Arabidopsis thaliana: one gene and its partners. The protein of the gene in region 3 interacts with the protein of the main gene of each other region in a pairwise test. Each region holds a gene or a part of one and is shown on either strand. Other genes may lie near its edges.

Region 1 (4,758 bases), on a different chromosome or scaffold from region 3:
CTACATGTGTCTGTGTGTTTGTGTCTAGTCGATGATTGTGATTGGTCTATGTTCCTTACAGGGTCCGGGTTTGAATCCCAATTGATTTACGGATCAGGATACTTCAACGTAAGAATCAAGGCACCTCAAACTACGTCTACGGGAGTCATTACTTCCTTCTATGTACGTGAATGACCAGTAAACTTAAGTTTGTCTAAAAATAAAGATGATGAGATTACGTACCTGAATAGCTTTTTGAAATCTGTTTTTCTGCTATACGGCAGTTAATCTCCCGTTCAAGCCGCCATGATGAGCTCTGTTTCCAGATCTTGGGAAAGAATGGGCCACCGTATTTGCTGAATACGAATATGTATCTGTACGGTGAAGGAGGCAAAGATCAGAGGTTTCGTCTCTGGTTTGATCCAACAAAAGATTACCATTCCTACAGTTTTCTTTGGAACCCTAATCAACTTGTGTGAGTATCATATAACACTTTTTATCAGATCATCCATTGATTAACATCAGTAACAAAAAGAAAATGTATTTCCACATTTTCAGGTTTTATGTTGACGATACACCGATCAGGGTGTACAGCAAGAATCCAGATGTTTACTACCCATCGGTGCAGACAATGTTCCTAATGGGAAGTGTGCAAAACGGATCGATAATTGACCCGAAGCAGATGCCTTACATTGCTAAGTTCCAGGCATCAAAGATTGAAGGGTGTAAGACTGAGTTCATGGGAATAGATAAATGCACTGATCCTAAGTTCTGGTGGAATCGCAAACAGCTAAGCTCTAAAGAGAAGACACTGTACCTAAACGCAAGGAAGACGTACCTGGATTATGACTATTGTTCTGACAGACAGCGATATCCAAAGGTGCCTCAAGAATGTGGAAGTTACACTTAGAGAAAGATCAATACCTGTCACAGGGTTAAGCCTACAAAACAATTATCTTGAAAAAATAACTTATGTTACTGTAAGATGCTTTATGATAAGCCTTTTCTATCAAATAACAACATTATTGTCATCAATGCTAGATACATTACTATGTCACGAGTTCATATACAGATACCTATTTACACAGAACCAAGTTGGTTCAGATCGGGTTTGCTTGAGGTTTACAAGCACTGAAACCTCTGAAAAGAACCTTACAGGTTACAAGACTGCATTTTCTCAGACATCAAGATAAGTCAAATATGAGAAAAAATCGGAAAGAAGCATACAATAGAAACTGCACATTAGATTATATATAGTTAGGCTAAGTCGCAGCAATGATGGTTTTGCTACAATAACATATACGTTAACAGAGAGAAACAAGAGTTTTTTTTACTCTTCTTTAACGAAGCCTTTTCATTGAATTTAGGCATAATCTATCAAACACATCCAAAATTCAAGGCGAGGTCGACTAATATCTGCTATCTTCAAGCAGGTCAAGCATCATCTGGAATACTCTGAGCTTAACTGCAAAAATGATACCAAAACATTGAAAGGTAAGTTTAAGGAGCCATAGTTCATTGATTCATTCAGATTCAGCAGAAGAGCAAGAGAATCTAGTTGTTTGATATAGCAATGTTTGCAAATTGCGATATGAAAACAATTTTCAAATCTTGATGATTACAGGATTAGAGATTGTTTATCATTCCAAATCCTAAAACCTTAATAAACAGAGAAATCTTGGACTAACATGATTATATCCCAAACAAACCAGACTTAGAGATTGTTTATCATTCCATCTCCTAAAACCCTAGACGATCATGTAATCAATCAATGTATATCACATTGCACAGAAAATGAAACTTTACCCTTGGCCGTCGAGATTCCCTTGACCGGAACTTCCACCACTACCATAAGAGACATCATCTCCCGTCCCCGTCGAAGTCTGCCAAACACTCTGCCACGCCTGAGACGGAGGCTGGACATAAACACCATTCGGATCCATAGCTGGTCTCCCAATCATCATCCCTCCAGGACCAGCTGGTTGTCCCATCGGCGGATAATAGTAAGGCACGCCGCTCGCGGTAGGAGCCACCACCATTCCACCACCGAGGACTGCGGCTTCGTCCTTAATCTCATCTCTAGGAACAATATCAACAAGGAAATCGAAGATATCAGTCCTAGTAATCGCAGCAGCGATATCGTTTTTCTGAAGCGTACGACGTTTATTCTCCTCAGCGTGAAGCCAAGATCTGATCGTGAGCTCGAGAATGAAAAGCTCACAAGCTTTCGCGAAGAGAATCGGTGCTTCTGCGGAGATCATACGAACATCTTCATCGGCTTTCATGATCTTTTTTATCCTAGCTAGTGGAAGCTGATGGTTTTTGAAATCGTTAACTTGTTCGATCTCTTGGCGTTGGTAGGTCCAGAATAGTTGGAGCTGTTGTTGTTGTTGTTGGAGAAGGTGGTGGTAAGAAGCTCCTCCTCCTGCGGCGGAGATGGTGGTTCCAGGTGGTGGAGGAGGGATTCCGGCGGCGGAGGGAGGTGGTTGCTGGTTGTTGGTATCCATTGGTCGGTTTTGGATTTTGATTTTTGGATCAAAAAGGTCGTGACAAGTTTTTGCCAAAGGGATTGGGGTACAAGTGGATAAGGTGGACAGCGATGTAGCTGATGATTTTCTCTCTTTTTTTTCTATTTCCTAAATTAATTTTTTTCTATTTTCTATTTCAAGTTAAATTTTGTTTTTTTTTTACACGTACCAAAGTTCATATGCATCCGAAATGAACCAAAAGAAAACATCAAGAGTGAAGAGAGCTGTCAGGAAAATGTTGCATCAAGAGTGAAGAGAGCTCTTTATTTCCGACTTTGTCTTTGCCATCGAGTATCGTCTTCAAGGTATCATCGCATCGTATCCGCCATTTACTACACTTCGTAATCTACAAATGAAACAAGTGAGCTCTAAACAAATCATAATCTCTAAACATGAAAATGCAATCTATGACCACCAAACAGAGAAGCAAGCACAAGGTCCAAAGCCACCTAAAGACACTCTATATTCGTAACTGGTGAATTCTTCATCTGACAGTGTATGAATTGACAAGCTAAGTTTTCAAAATATGCAATCAGAAAAGACCATTTCCACAAACAAAACCAAAACATTCAAGTGAGTAAACAACATTTTCAGCGTAGATGTCAATTACTCCAATAATGACCAACACAAGAATCAAATCACTACCATTCTCCAGTCTCTAGAGACTCCAATCCCTAAATGCATAAACATGTAAAGAGGAGATCATAAGGAAAGTAAAAAAGCTAACCCAAGGAAACTCGAGCAGAGTAACACCCTCATCTACGAGCTTGTGATCAAAGGCATAATCTAGCAATTTTCTCAAGGCGGCGTCAAAAGAGATTTCGCTTTGGCCGACGAATCTAGCCAGCGGCTCTGAGACTTTCACAATATCATTGAACCCCCATTTTTCTATAGTACCTCCACCGGTAGCCTTCACCTTCGCCGACATAGTTCTAACGTTAGGAAAATGTCGCAACAAAAGCTCCGTCATCTCTCTGACTCCGACGACTTTGTCTTGGCCATCGAAAATCGTCTTCAAGTTATCATCGCACAGTATCTCCTCTATATTCTCCGGATTCTACAAATCAAAGACCTATAAATCAGATACATTGCTCCAACAGAAAGAATCAGATCAAAAGACCTAGAAATCACCAAAAAAAAAAGTAGAATGAAAGGAAACTGGAGAAGAGTTTCGAAATCCCTAACCCAAAGATTGTGATCATCGGTATACTGCTCCACTTTCTCCATGGCGGTGGAAAAAGAGACTTCGCTTTGGCCGACGAATCTAGCCAGCGACTCTGAGACTGGAAAAATCTTATGAATTCCTCCTCTTCTATCAACGCCGGCGCCGGTAGCCGTCGCATTAGTCACCGCCTTCGCCATCAGTGTCCTGCATCCTCCTAGAATCTTAGAAATTGGCGACATTGTTGTTTCTCCTTCACTCCACTGCCCCTAACAATAAACAATTGAAGAAAAGTCTCCAACTAAAGAAATTGATGCAACTCATTTTGGGCCTTGTTGAATATTTATATATGGGCCTAATTGGGCTTCAGTTATATTGGGAGTTTATGAAGATCTTTCGATTGCTCAACATATCACTAACATTAACAATGAATTTTGTCTATTTCTTTGTTCCTCAATTCTAGTTTCCATACATAAAATCACACATTTTCAGATCAAAACATAGGAAGACGAATGCAAACAAGATTTTTAATCAGTTGTGTGGCCGTGTAGTGAGCGAAGATCGCATATCGACAATAGCAGATTTATCGGCACCAAGCTTCATTGCCTCTTTACTAGCTCTAATGAACCGAGAAGTAGCTCCTTTGACATACTCATGAGCTTGTTTCACAGTCATCTTCTTTCCAATTTCTTCCGGGAAGCTACTGAGGAAGTGATCACCATTGAGAACCGCTGCAAGCTGAACCACTTCACCTTGAAACTCAGAAAGAGCAGCGTCTTCTTTAGGCTCAGTGGCTCTCATAGGTGCAACTTCAGGTAGAGTCATGGGACAATCGGTTCGAGGAGTGGTTAAGTGAGATACAACGTCTTCGAAAGTAGCAGCCCATGCATCTCTATGTGTTAAGAAATTGGAAGAGAGATTGAAGAGTTTCTTGATTGTCGCTGGTATTGATGAATGCTCGTACTCTGAGCTCTCTGTTGGTCCTTTTGCTTCACTTACGACTTCATTCAAAACATATAATAAAATAAGATGTTATTAAACTATATATAGTAAAAAAATATTAAAATCAAATGGGGTCAAAGGATGGTT
Region 2 (4,947 bases), 3.2 Mb from region 3:
GCGGTACACTACACAGCTTGAAGCAGTCATCCGCGATAATCAGTTGAGATGGTTCGATGGGGTTCAAGTGATGCTGCTGCAGGAGAACGCAACCTACACGTTTCAAAGTGGCTGTGTCCCGAGCAAACCATCCTAAAGACAATGTTGGATCCATCAATATCAAGATTCAGTTTAACCATTAACATCTCGGATTTTAGTTTTCGTTACCAACTGTGTCGAAGCTCTGAGCCATTGGAGTAAGTCCGACAGTGGAAACTGCACCGTGGGATGGCCGGAAACCGAAAATCCCACAGTAAGATGCTGGAACTCGTACACTCCCTCCGGTATCAGTTCCTGATTGATCAAAAACCAATTAGACAGGGAAGAAAAATACTTTATGATCAGTAGTATGGTTACAACTTTTGGCAATTTTTCTTCAGCTCACCAATAGAAAAATCCACAAGACGAGCAGCTACAGCTACGGCTGAGCCACTCGATGATCCCCCAGGCACTCTATCGAAAGCAATCGGGTTTCTCGGAGTCCCATAATGCGCATTTTCTCCGTTTATACTGCATATTAAGTAAGAACATGCTCAGAAAAAACGTAACAAACCTAGTCATATTTTAGTTCTAGCCTCTGTTATGACATATCCTGTTTCTTAAAACATGAACTCCTAAACCAGAAAAGATGTGAAATTGAACCTGTAAGCCATTTCATCCATAATGGTAATACCCAAAGCTGTGGCACCAGCTTCTAAGAGAGATGAAACTACTGGAGCTGTAGAAGTAGCTGCCGAGTGTGTCCTTAACCAATCCGGGTTACCAAAACCGGTAACGCGTCCTTCCACATCAAAACTGATCAAACCAAGCAATAAGCTCAAAAATTGATTGACAAGAAAGTATAGAAGAAACTCTGTAAGTAGTTGGATATCTTACATGTCTTTAATGGCGAAAGTAAGACCCTGTAGAGAAGGAGGCGACGAGGAAGTAGAAGTTGGAGAGATTGTAACTTTCTCAATGAAAGCTCCAAAATCATTATTGGTCGCCATTGATGCAGCTCCCTTTCTGAGAAGGTAGATGACGACCAAGTAACGCTTCTTGTAGATAAAAGCTATCACATTATTAACGCGGCTACAGTGGCCAAGTCATTTTCTATTTTGTCTTTTCCTTAATATTATTGTCCTTTTGTTTTAAATATCCAATGAGATACATTTTGTGGATAATAACTTAATATGTGTGATAAAGACACAGAAATTAACATTCAAATAAAAAAACTTTTGTCAAAAGCACACTTGTTTCTTACAGTTTATACATTCTTCTTTCTGGTTCATCCCTAAATTTCTCGTTTAGAAAAGGATCGATAGACATAAACACTTTAGATTCTTCTACAACACCCAATTTGACAATTCTGATATGTTCTTTTCATTTTCTTGTCTAAGGTCTCCCTCCTTTCACCTGGACGAGACTAGAACGCTGCAGGGAGAAAAGCGAATACACTATCACATTTTTACTTCAATAAGATAAGAATACCAAAACTGACATAGTACCAAACTGAGACGATACTGAAATAAGTTATACAAAGGTTACCATTATTCGAAAACAGAAACAAAACCCCAAGACTACAAGGTAGGCCTAAAAGAAGCTGGAAGACTCACAGTTTCTTGCTAATTTTCCTGGTCAGGTTGGTCAGGTGCCTGTTGTTGCCACATTGGTTGACCCATATAAGGATTAGGTGGATACGCACCACCGGGATTACCCATAACCATTCCCGGATTTCCTATTGGAGCAGTTCCTGCAGGCAAGTATCCATACGGGTAACCAGCAGCAGCAGCTTCCGGGACAGTGCCCCTCGGAATACTTCCCAAGACTTCATCTCGGAGATCCTCCCGGGGAACAATATCCACAAGGAAATCAAAAATATCGGTTCTAGTCACAGCAGCAGCAATATCGTTCTTCTGCAACGTCCGCCTCTTATTCTCCTCAGTGTGGTTCCACGACCTGAGTGTCAGCTCCAGGATGAACATCTCACAGGCCCTTGCAAACACGACAGGCGCCTCAGCCGAGATCATACGGACATCTTCATCCGCTTTCATGATTTTCTTGATTCTCGCAAGGGGAAGGCTGTGGTTCTTGAAATCGGTAGTCTTCTCAATCTCTTTGAATTGGTTCTCCCAAAATGCTTGAAGCTGCTGTGCCAGCTGTTGCTGCTGCTGCTGCTGATGGATCTGGTGGAACGCCAGCTGGCCTGGTTGTGCCGCACCTCCTGCTACAGTAGCAGCAGTGGTGCTCATCGGGTTGGTTTGGTATGGGTTTGTGCCATAGTTCATAGCTCCAGACTGTCCATGGTCTTGTTGATCCATTCACTACCAGAATAAAAAAACAGAACTTTGGGATTCATTCTAAGCTCTTAAGAAACATCTGACCAGAATTTTAAAGAAATGTGAAGGAGATAAGGTTGCTAACAAACAATTTACATAAATAAGAATCTGCTGAATTTACTTTATATATGGTCTAATCTGTAATTCTAGATTAACCTTGAAGATCTAAACAGCAATAAGTATGAAAATTGAGCTTCGAATTAAAAGACAATACATCAACCTACTTATTCCAACCCATAAATTTGATAAGGAAAACAGGAAAATATCGAAAGGGATTGCCTTTAATTTCCTTCAAAATAGACAGAACAAAGAATCTGCTAACACAGAACAACTAGAATTGTTCCTACAACACCAAGCATATTATTTTATCATGTGAATTCCACAATATATAAGTAAGAACAAGTCAAATTGAAAAAAAGAATCTGCAAACGAGAGTGACCTGTGGAAAGGAGAATCTGAAGGGGAAGAGACTGGTTGATCCTCTTGGTGGGTAGAGAGAGTTTTAAGATCTGGTTTTTTTGTGTTAATTTGTTGTGATTTTATTAGGGTTTTGCTGCTTTACCCTTTTTTCGACTTTAACAATGAGGAGGAATTTAGAAAGACAAGGGGAAGTAAGTGGAAAGAGCTTTAAAAGCTGGGTGTCGTGTCAACCATTGGGCTTATGTCAAGATTCTTCTGCTCTTGTCAGATCATGATTTGTTTTATCTCTTACATTAATTAATTCATTTTTATTATCTTCTTAGGATTTAATTGGCAACCTTTAATTATCTTCTTTGGAGGTTCAAATTTCACAAGTAGTTTTGTTGTATCACAACATATTTGGCATTCACAGAGAATCAAATCACATAAAAAAGAACCAGAATCAACATTTTGTTCTGCTCTAATACACATTCTAGGATCAATGAAGTATTTCTCATTAATATCAAAAGAATACAAATGTGTGGTTTATACATATATAACAGACCCAAAAAAACAAGACCAGTACAATCAATGGAAAAGTAAACCAGATGGGGGAGTCAAAATCTTCTCCCAAAGCACATATATTTTACCATCACCTATCTACCAAACTTTACTAATCTGGCTCGGACGATCACAAGAACTTTTTGTGGGATTCGAAGATTACTGGTCTGGCGGTGGCCATCAGCTGAGCTCAAAATTTTGGCAATTCCCTTCTAGACAACAAAAATTCCTAAACAATGAACCCTGGTTGACCCTAGATTATTCAATGTGCAGACTTCACGCATATGATCAGGTTGAAACGCTGGCGATGATCAAACTAACAAATGTGAAAGCAACATACAGTCCAACAAGACAGATCCCCCAGAATCTCGGAACTCGGAATCTAGACCAGGTTATTACCAACAGAGATCCCATTAGACTAAGCAACAAGAAGACGAAAGCTATCACAATACCTACATGGAATCCAAGTTTGTAAGCGTCTGGATATACATTAGCTGTTTGCATCACCAAGGCCGATCCAAGTCCAACAAGCATGTTAAACATTGGACCTGCAAAACAACCGGCCATAGCCATTGCTGGTCTACCTGCCTTTGCAACTGCCACGTCAGCAACTAGGTCACCAACCGAGTTTCCCCAAGCAAGAACGGTTAGGCCAAGGAGCGCCGGAGGCAGTTTAAGGAGGGTTCCAAGCGCAGCCAAGCAGTTAAGGAGCTCACCAGCAATTGTTGATATCCAGAAAACACTCATTATGAAAGCTACAACAATGACCGGCAGTTGCTCGGTTTTTGGTGGTTGTTTTTCTACTGTGAAGTGGAGGAACGCTAGGGAAGACGTCATGAAGAGGACAACAAGCCAAAGCGGGAGATGGGTGTTTGGAAAGAGGAATGAAATTGGGTGGTTTAGTTGTACAAAAGAGTTGCAAGTGTATAAAAGGGCAAAAGGGCAGAAAACAATGTTGGCAGAGCGATAAAACCTAGACCATTCCGAAGGAGAAGGTTTTGGGATGGTAAGGTTCAAAAGAACTGATACAGGAGTTTCCCACATCCTCGAGATCTGCAATCACAGCAGCAAAAGCAGAATCAGACAACCTTCACTAAACTTATTTCAAACTTAAATGCAGTCTAACAGAAAAAATATAGTAACCTGGATAAGATCCAAACAGGTAAACTCCTTTAGAGTCGAATTCACCAAAGGAATACATATCATAGAGAGACTTGATTAACGAGTCTTGACCAGTTCCCAATCCTAAACCCTACGAAATTCTCTCAAACTCATTTTGCCCAACTTCTTTCTAACATGTTAGCTCTCTAGCTAACCGATCTAACGATTGCTCCTGAGCTGTCAACACAGCTACAATCCAGTTGAAAACGCCTAAGCAAGTGAAAATGCTCATTCACTAGACTAACACAGAGACTTATCATAACCTTAGAGTACACTAAGAAGAAAACAGGAAGCAAATTAAAACCTTTAAACGCATAATCTAAACTAAACAATATCGGAGTTCACAATTGGTAGCTGAATATGATACTACCATAAAATTCCAGCATTATGATCGATAAACAAAGCTCAAAGATGAGTGAAGAAGAATTTACCGTTCCATAAAGCCGAAAAATTCCTGAAAATTGATGTT
Region 3 (5,453 bases):
GGCTTTCAGAGACGTAAGCATCTATATCATCTTTGATCTATTCTTTTAAATTTTCATGCATCCTGACCTGACGAGTTTCTGGCTTTGTGTTTCTTTTGTCTTCTTATCATCAGGGAGGAGAACAAACTGAATGCATGTGCCTACACACGTGTGATATGACCTGTGTGTTATCCATGGAGGCCAGTGTTGTTGGCCGTATGCATAATCTCAAGTTTCTCAAGGTTTACAAGCATGTAGATTACAGAGAGTCGAATCTGCAACTCATTCCAGACCAACCGTTCCTGCCTCGTAGCCTACGGCTATTCCATTGGGATGCATTTCCATTGAGAGCCCTGCCTTCCGGTTCTGATCCATGTTTTCTTGTTGAACTCAATCTGCGTCACAGTGATTTAGAAACTCTCTGGAGTGGAACACCGGTAATCTTTTCTATGATTCTGCATCTTGTGTTTGTGTTTTTGATAGAGCAATGGTGTGAAAACAGAGAATCCTTGCGAGAAACATAATTCCAACTATTTCCATGTGTTGTTGTATCTTGCTCAGATGTTGAAGAGTTTGAAGAGACTAGATGTGACGGGATCTAAGCATCTCAAGCAACTTCCAGATCTTTCAAGTATCACGAGTCTTGAGGAATTGCTTCTGGAACAATGCACGAGACTGGAGGGCATTCCAGAGTGTATTGGAAAAAGGTCTACCTTAAAGAAGCTTAAGCTATCCTACCGTGGAGGGCGTAGAAGTGCCCTGCGGTTTTTTCTACGAAAATCTACAAGGCAGCAACATATTGGATTGGAGTTCCCAGACGCAAAAGTGAAAATGGATGCACTTATAAACATATCGATTGGGGGAGACATTACTTTTGAGTTTCGTTCAAAATTTAGAGGATATGCTGAATACGTCTCTTTTAATTCTGAGCAACAGATACCCATTATATCGGCGATGAGTCTGCAACAAGCACCTTGGGTCATCTCAGAGTGCAACAGATTCAATTCCCTCCGCATCATGAGGTTCAGCCACAAAGAAAACGGTGAATCTTTCTCCTTTGACGTCTTTCCAGATTTTCCCGACCTGAAAGAGCTAAAACTAGTGAACTTAAACATCAGGAAAATCCCATCTGGGATTTGTCACCTGGATTTACTAGAGAAGCTGGACCTCAGCGGAAATGATTTTGAGAACTTACCAGAAGCTATGAGTAGCCTTTCCCGGTTAAAAACTCTCTGGCTTCAAAACTGCTTTAAGCTCCAGGAGTTGCCAAAGCTAACTCAGGTGCAGACACTTACACTTACCAACTGTAGGAACCTTAGATCATTGGCGAAACTATCTAACACAAGTCAAGATGAGGGAAGATACTGTTTGCTTGAGCTTTGCCTTGAAAATTGCAAGAGTGTTGAATCATTGTCAGATCAGCTTAGTCATTTCACCAAGTTGACATGTTTAGATCTCAGCAACCATGATTTTGAGACATTGCCATCAAGCATCAGAGATCTTACCTCATTGGTAACACTTTGCCTCAATAACTGCAAGAAACTCAAATCGGTGGAAAAACTTCCCTTGTCTCTCCAATTTCTCGATGCACACGGCTGTGATTCTCTCGAAGCTGGTTCTGCAGAACATTTTGAGGACATACCAAACAAGGAGGTGAATACTTGGCTCTTGATCCGTCTCTACTATGATTGATGTAGTTACCCTTTATCATCTCCCTTCTTTTATAGGCACATACACGAAATGACTACTTCCAAGAAACTGAGATGTCGAGTTATGTACTGAAAACTCAAGCCACAAGAAATCGCCAAACCATCCGCCTTCCCAAGATCACACATGCGGTTATGTATGTAGGCATCCCTATCTGCATCACGCTAGTGGCTGCTCTTGTGATTTTACTCCTGCGTGTTTTCAAGTGAAACTCAAGACTCAGCAACAGCTTCCTCAAGACTTAAACTGTGTGCTTTCTTCTGTAATTTACCAGGTAGTAACAAACTTACTACATTTCAAGTCTCCCTTGCTTCTGCTTCTCTCTCTCTTTTCCACTCGCATTTTGGAACTGAGTTCCACTATATCCAAAGAACGCTTCAAGATTTTGTCCATAAACACAAAGAGTAGGCAGATTAGCTTTGCTTTAGATGCTTCAGCTGCCATATAGTTGCTCACTAGATTAGGCTTTTGACGATAGTTTTACTTTGTAAAGTGGATAGGCAGATAACTAGATAAGTGTTTACTTTGTTAAGTGAACAAAATAATAAGTCAATAAGATTAGAAAACTAATATATTAATTAAGCATTAAAAATACTAATGAAGGTGGCGGTACTGCTAATAATGGAGCTGGTGATTTTGTTGGAAAGGTAATGACTTTATAAGAGAGAAAATTGTGAGTGACGGAAATGAAGCATCAAAAGAATACACACACACACATACACACTGTTGAGTATCTATCTGAGAGAATAAGCAAAAGAGAAAAGAGATTTACTTTGTTTTGATAGGCATCCCTTGAGTTCCTGTTCTTCATCTCTTCCTTGAATCCGTAAGGTCTCTCTATCTCCTTCTCTTTGAATCCGTCATTTCTTCGCTTTTTTTTAGAGTGATGTGCTGATTCGGAAATCTTCTGGAAATTTCTTCCCAAGTCAACGCCTTTTAGGACGAAAGTAATGGTGCTGATTTTAGTTGGTCGGAACTTTACTTTTTTTTCTGCCGCGCTCTTCTAATAGTTTGCCCGAAATAGTTCTGAATGTTGCTCTGTTTCTGGGTTTTTTTCCCTTTTTGGATTATCCCCTTCTTTGTCTACTACATCGTCAAAGGTTTTGCTGTTTCCAGGAATAAATATCTTTTGAAAGTTTTATCATTTATAAAGATGTTCTGAATTTGGAGCTTCTTTGACAGACACATGTATCATCAATCTTCTCTGTTGAAGCAGAGAGAGAGAGAGCTAATTGTTGCCTCTGAGTCACATGGATAAGAAAGTTTCATTTACTAGCTCTGTGGCACATTCAACTCCACCATACCTTAGTACTTCCATCTCATGGGGACTTCCAACCAAATCCAATGGTGTGACTGAATCACTGAGTTTGAAGGTGGTAGATGCAAGACCAGAACGTCTTATAAACACAAAGAATATCAGTTTCCAGGACCAGGATTCATCTTCAACTCTGTCCTCTGCTCAATCTTCTAACGATGTTACAAGTAGTGGAGATGATAACCCCTCAAGACAAATCTCATTTTTAGCACATTCAGGTCCGTTTTAAACAACTTTGGGTTCTAGACAACTCACTATGATCTATTATGTTGAAGACGCATGGTGTTTTAGCTTGATCTTTGGTCCCATTTACGAAAGAATCCATCCCTTTGTCCTGAAAATGTTATCTTTCGCTCTCTTTCTTTCAGATGTTTGTAAAGGATTTGAAGAAACTCAAAGGAAGCGATTTGCAATTAAATCAGGCTCCTCCACGGCAGGAATCGCTGATATTCACTCTTCTCCTTCCAAGGTACCCGTATATCTACTACGAGTGACGATAAGCAGTACTTGTGATTGTTTACTGACATCTTGTGTTATACTCTGGTTTCAGGCTAACTTCTCATTTCACTATGCCGATCCACATTTTGGTGGTTTAATGCCTGCGGCTTACCTACCACAGGCAACAGTAAGTATATCCTCCTTGATTACATATGGTGAGGAGAATATTTATGCTAAACCTCATTTTTACTTAAGGTGGACTTGTTATGTAACATTATGCTCTGAAGTAGTTACATATACAGCTATAGAAAGAAATGCCATCCTTAAATGGTGAATTAGTCTTGCAATTTATTTCTCCATTTGAGATTTCAGTTTGCTTAAAAACTTTCTGCAGATATGGAATCCCCAAATGACTCGAGTTCCGCTACCATTCGATCTCATAGAGAATGAGCCTGTCTTTGTCAATGCAAAGCAATTCCATGCAATTATGAGGAGGAGGCAACAGCGTGCTAAGCTAGAGGCGCAAAACAAACTAATCAAAGCCCGTAAGGTATAGTATTTTGGTCAGCGTTTCGGTATCTTACTTTGGTTTAATGACTAAACATAACTCATTATCAAATATCATACAGCCGTATCTTCATGAATCTCGACATGTTCACGCTCTTAAACGACCTAGAGGATCTGGTGGAAGATTCCTAAACACCAAAAAGCTTCAAGAATCTACAGATCCAAAACAAGACATGCCAATCCAACAGCAACACGCAACGGGAAACATGTCAAGATTTGTGCTTTATCAGTTGCAGAACAGCAATGACTGTGATTGTTCAACCACTTCTCGCTCTGACATCACATCTGCTTCTGACAGCGTTAATCTCTTTGGACACTCTGAATTTCTGATATCAGATTGCCCATCTCAGACAAACCCAACAATGTATGTTCATGGTCAATCAAATGACATGCATGGAGGTAGGAACACACACCATTTCTCTGTCCATATCTGAGCCGGTGGAATCTGGTAATGTGTACGTTCCTACAAAAAAAGGGAAGTCATCCTTGGCTGCTACTTCGCTTATTAGCTAGTTCTTATTTCACACGCTTTGTCCAGATATCATTTGAATGACCAAAAACCTTCAAGCTTCAACTCTTTACTTTTCGTCTGTCGTTTGTACCATGGATCATCGTGTGTTAAGTCAGTGATTGGATTGGAGTGATGAATGTAAATGTAAATCTGATAACCGATAAGTCTCTGCTCTTTGCTTATTCATAGTTAGTAAAGCTAAACCAGATTCATACACTCCATTCCGGTGTTGTTTATATCATATATCATAGTCATAGAACACATTGACTAGAAGCGCAGCTTGGTCCCAATCCTCTGTAACAAGCCGTCCAACCACCTTCCCCGACCAAGTTTCTAACCGTCTGTAGATAGTCAGACTGCAGTTCCTATCGTTACTACTACTACTATTACTATCTTCCACATTTAGAACCTGCAGTCTAGTCTTTAATTATGTCACTGTAATCAAAGCGGAGACACTACCAGCAATGGCGGCAGTAACACCTTGAACAAATGTTCCCTAAACGCTTTTCTGTCTGAGTACCCCCGAGTTACAATCACTAGCAGTGTATTTATACACAAAGGGAATATCTCTTAACACAGATATGTTTCCAAAAACATACAAACATAACTAAAGACTAGACTGTAAAGGATGACGGGAAATTGCAATGTTTCTTTTGCAACACGTTTTCACCACGTGTCGATGTTGTTGACACATTAACTAACGCAAGAGTTATCCTTCTTTTGATCTTTTCCTTGATGTAATACTTTGGGCTTCAATTTTGGGCTTCAACTTTGGCCTTGTAAACTTGTTTGGATCAGTCAATAAAGAACAATAGTGACAAAAAAAAAAACTAATAATTTGAAAAATGATAAACAAAGTAAAATTCATTAAGCAAATGGCCTATCAACGCATGGACACAACAAATATTTAGTTCACATATATATATTTTTTCCTAC

What was found.
Region 1: the proteins of NF-YA8 (region 3) and NF-YC1 interact in a two-hybrid assay, tested with the Arabidopsis thaliana proteins (2 studies listed by BioGRID).
Region 2: the proteins of NF-YA8 (region 3) and NF-YC9 interact in binary tests that used the Arabidopsis thaliana proteins (3 or more experiments, as listed by UniProt).

The regions. Positions count from the first base shown.
Region 1 is NC_003074.8:18,007,453-18,012,210, forward strand, and holds NF-YC1 (nuclear factor Y, subunit C1), read right to left. Parts: upstream 2,567-4,758; 5' UTR 2,487-2,566; coding exon 1,786-2,486; intron 1,445-1,785; coding exon 1,441-1,444; 3' UTR 1,141-1,440; downstream 1-1,140. Other genes in the region: XTH11 (xyloglucan endotransglucosylase/hydrolase 11), read left to right, coding at 62-162, 264-454, 538-889; AT3G48600 (SWIB complex BAF60b domain-containing protein), read right to left, coding at 2,716-2,853, 3,235-3,564, 3,693-3,911; NPC6 (non-specific phospholipase C6), read right to left, coding at 4,201-4,670. UniProt on the Arabidopsis thaliana protein: Stimulates the transcription of various genes by recognizing and binding to a CCAAT motif in promoters.
Region 2 is NC_003070.9:2,880,536-2,885,482, reverse strand, and holds NF-YC9 (nuclear factor Y, subunit C9), read right to left. Parts: upstream 2,993-4,947; 5' UTR 2,797-2,992; exon of another isoform or gene 2,343-2,796; 5' UTR 2,340-2,342; coding exon 1,644-2,339; 3' UTR 1,635-1,643; exon of another isoform or gene 1,453-1,634; 3' UTR 1,141-1,452; downstream 1-1,140. Other genes in the region: AMI1 (amidase 1), read right to left, coding at 1-132, 208-333, 425-549, 682-834, 916-1,028; CAX11 (cation exchanger 11), read right to left, coding at 3,606-4,370, 4,910-4,947. UniProt on the Arabidopsis thaliana protein: Stimulates the transcription of various genes by recognizing and binding to a CCAAT motif in promoters. Interacts with REF6 to directly regulate SOC1 transcription in response to flowering signals from photoperiod and gibberellic acid pathways.
Region 3 is NC_003070.9:6,049,468-6,054,920, reverse strand, and holds NF-YA8 (nuclear factor Y, subunit A8), read left to right. Parts: upstream 1-2,292; 5' UTR 2,293-2,517; exon of another isoform or gene 2,518-2,868; 5' UTR 2,869-2,936; coding exon 2,937-3,219; intron 3,220-3,369; coding exon 3,370-3,470; intron 3,471-3,551; coding exon 3,552-3,626; intron 3,627-3,833; coding exon 3,834-3,989; intron 3,990-4,068; coding exon 4,069-4,440; 3' UTR 4,441-4,757; downstream 4,758-5,453. Other genes in the region: AT1G17600 (Disease resistance protein (TIR-NBS-LRR class) family), read left to right, coding at 1-13, 114-416, 541-1,632, 1,707-1,895. UniProt on the Arabidopsis thaliana protein: Stimulates the transcription of various genes by recognizing and binding to a CCAAT motif in promoters.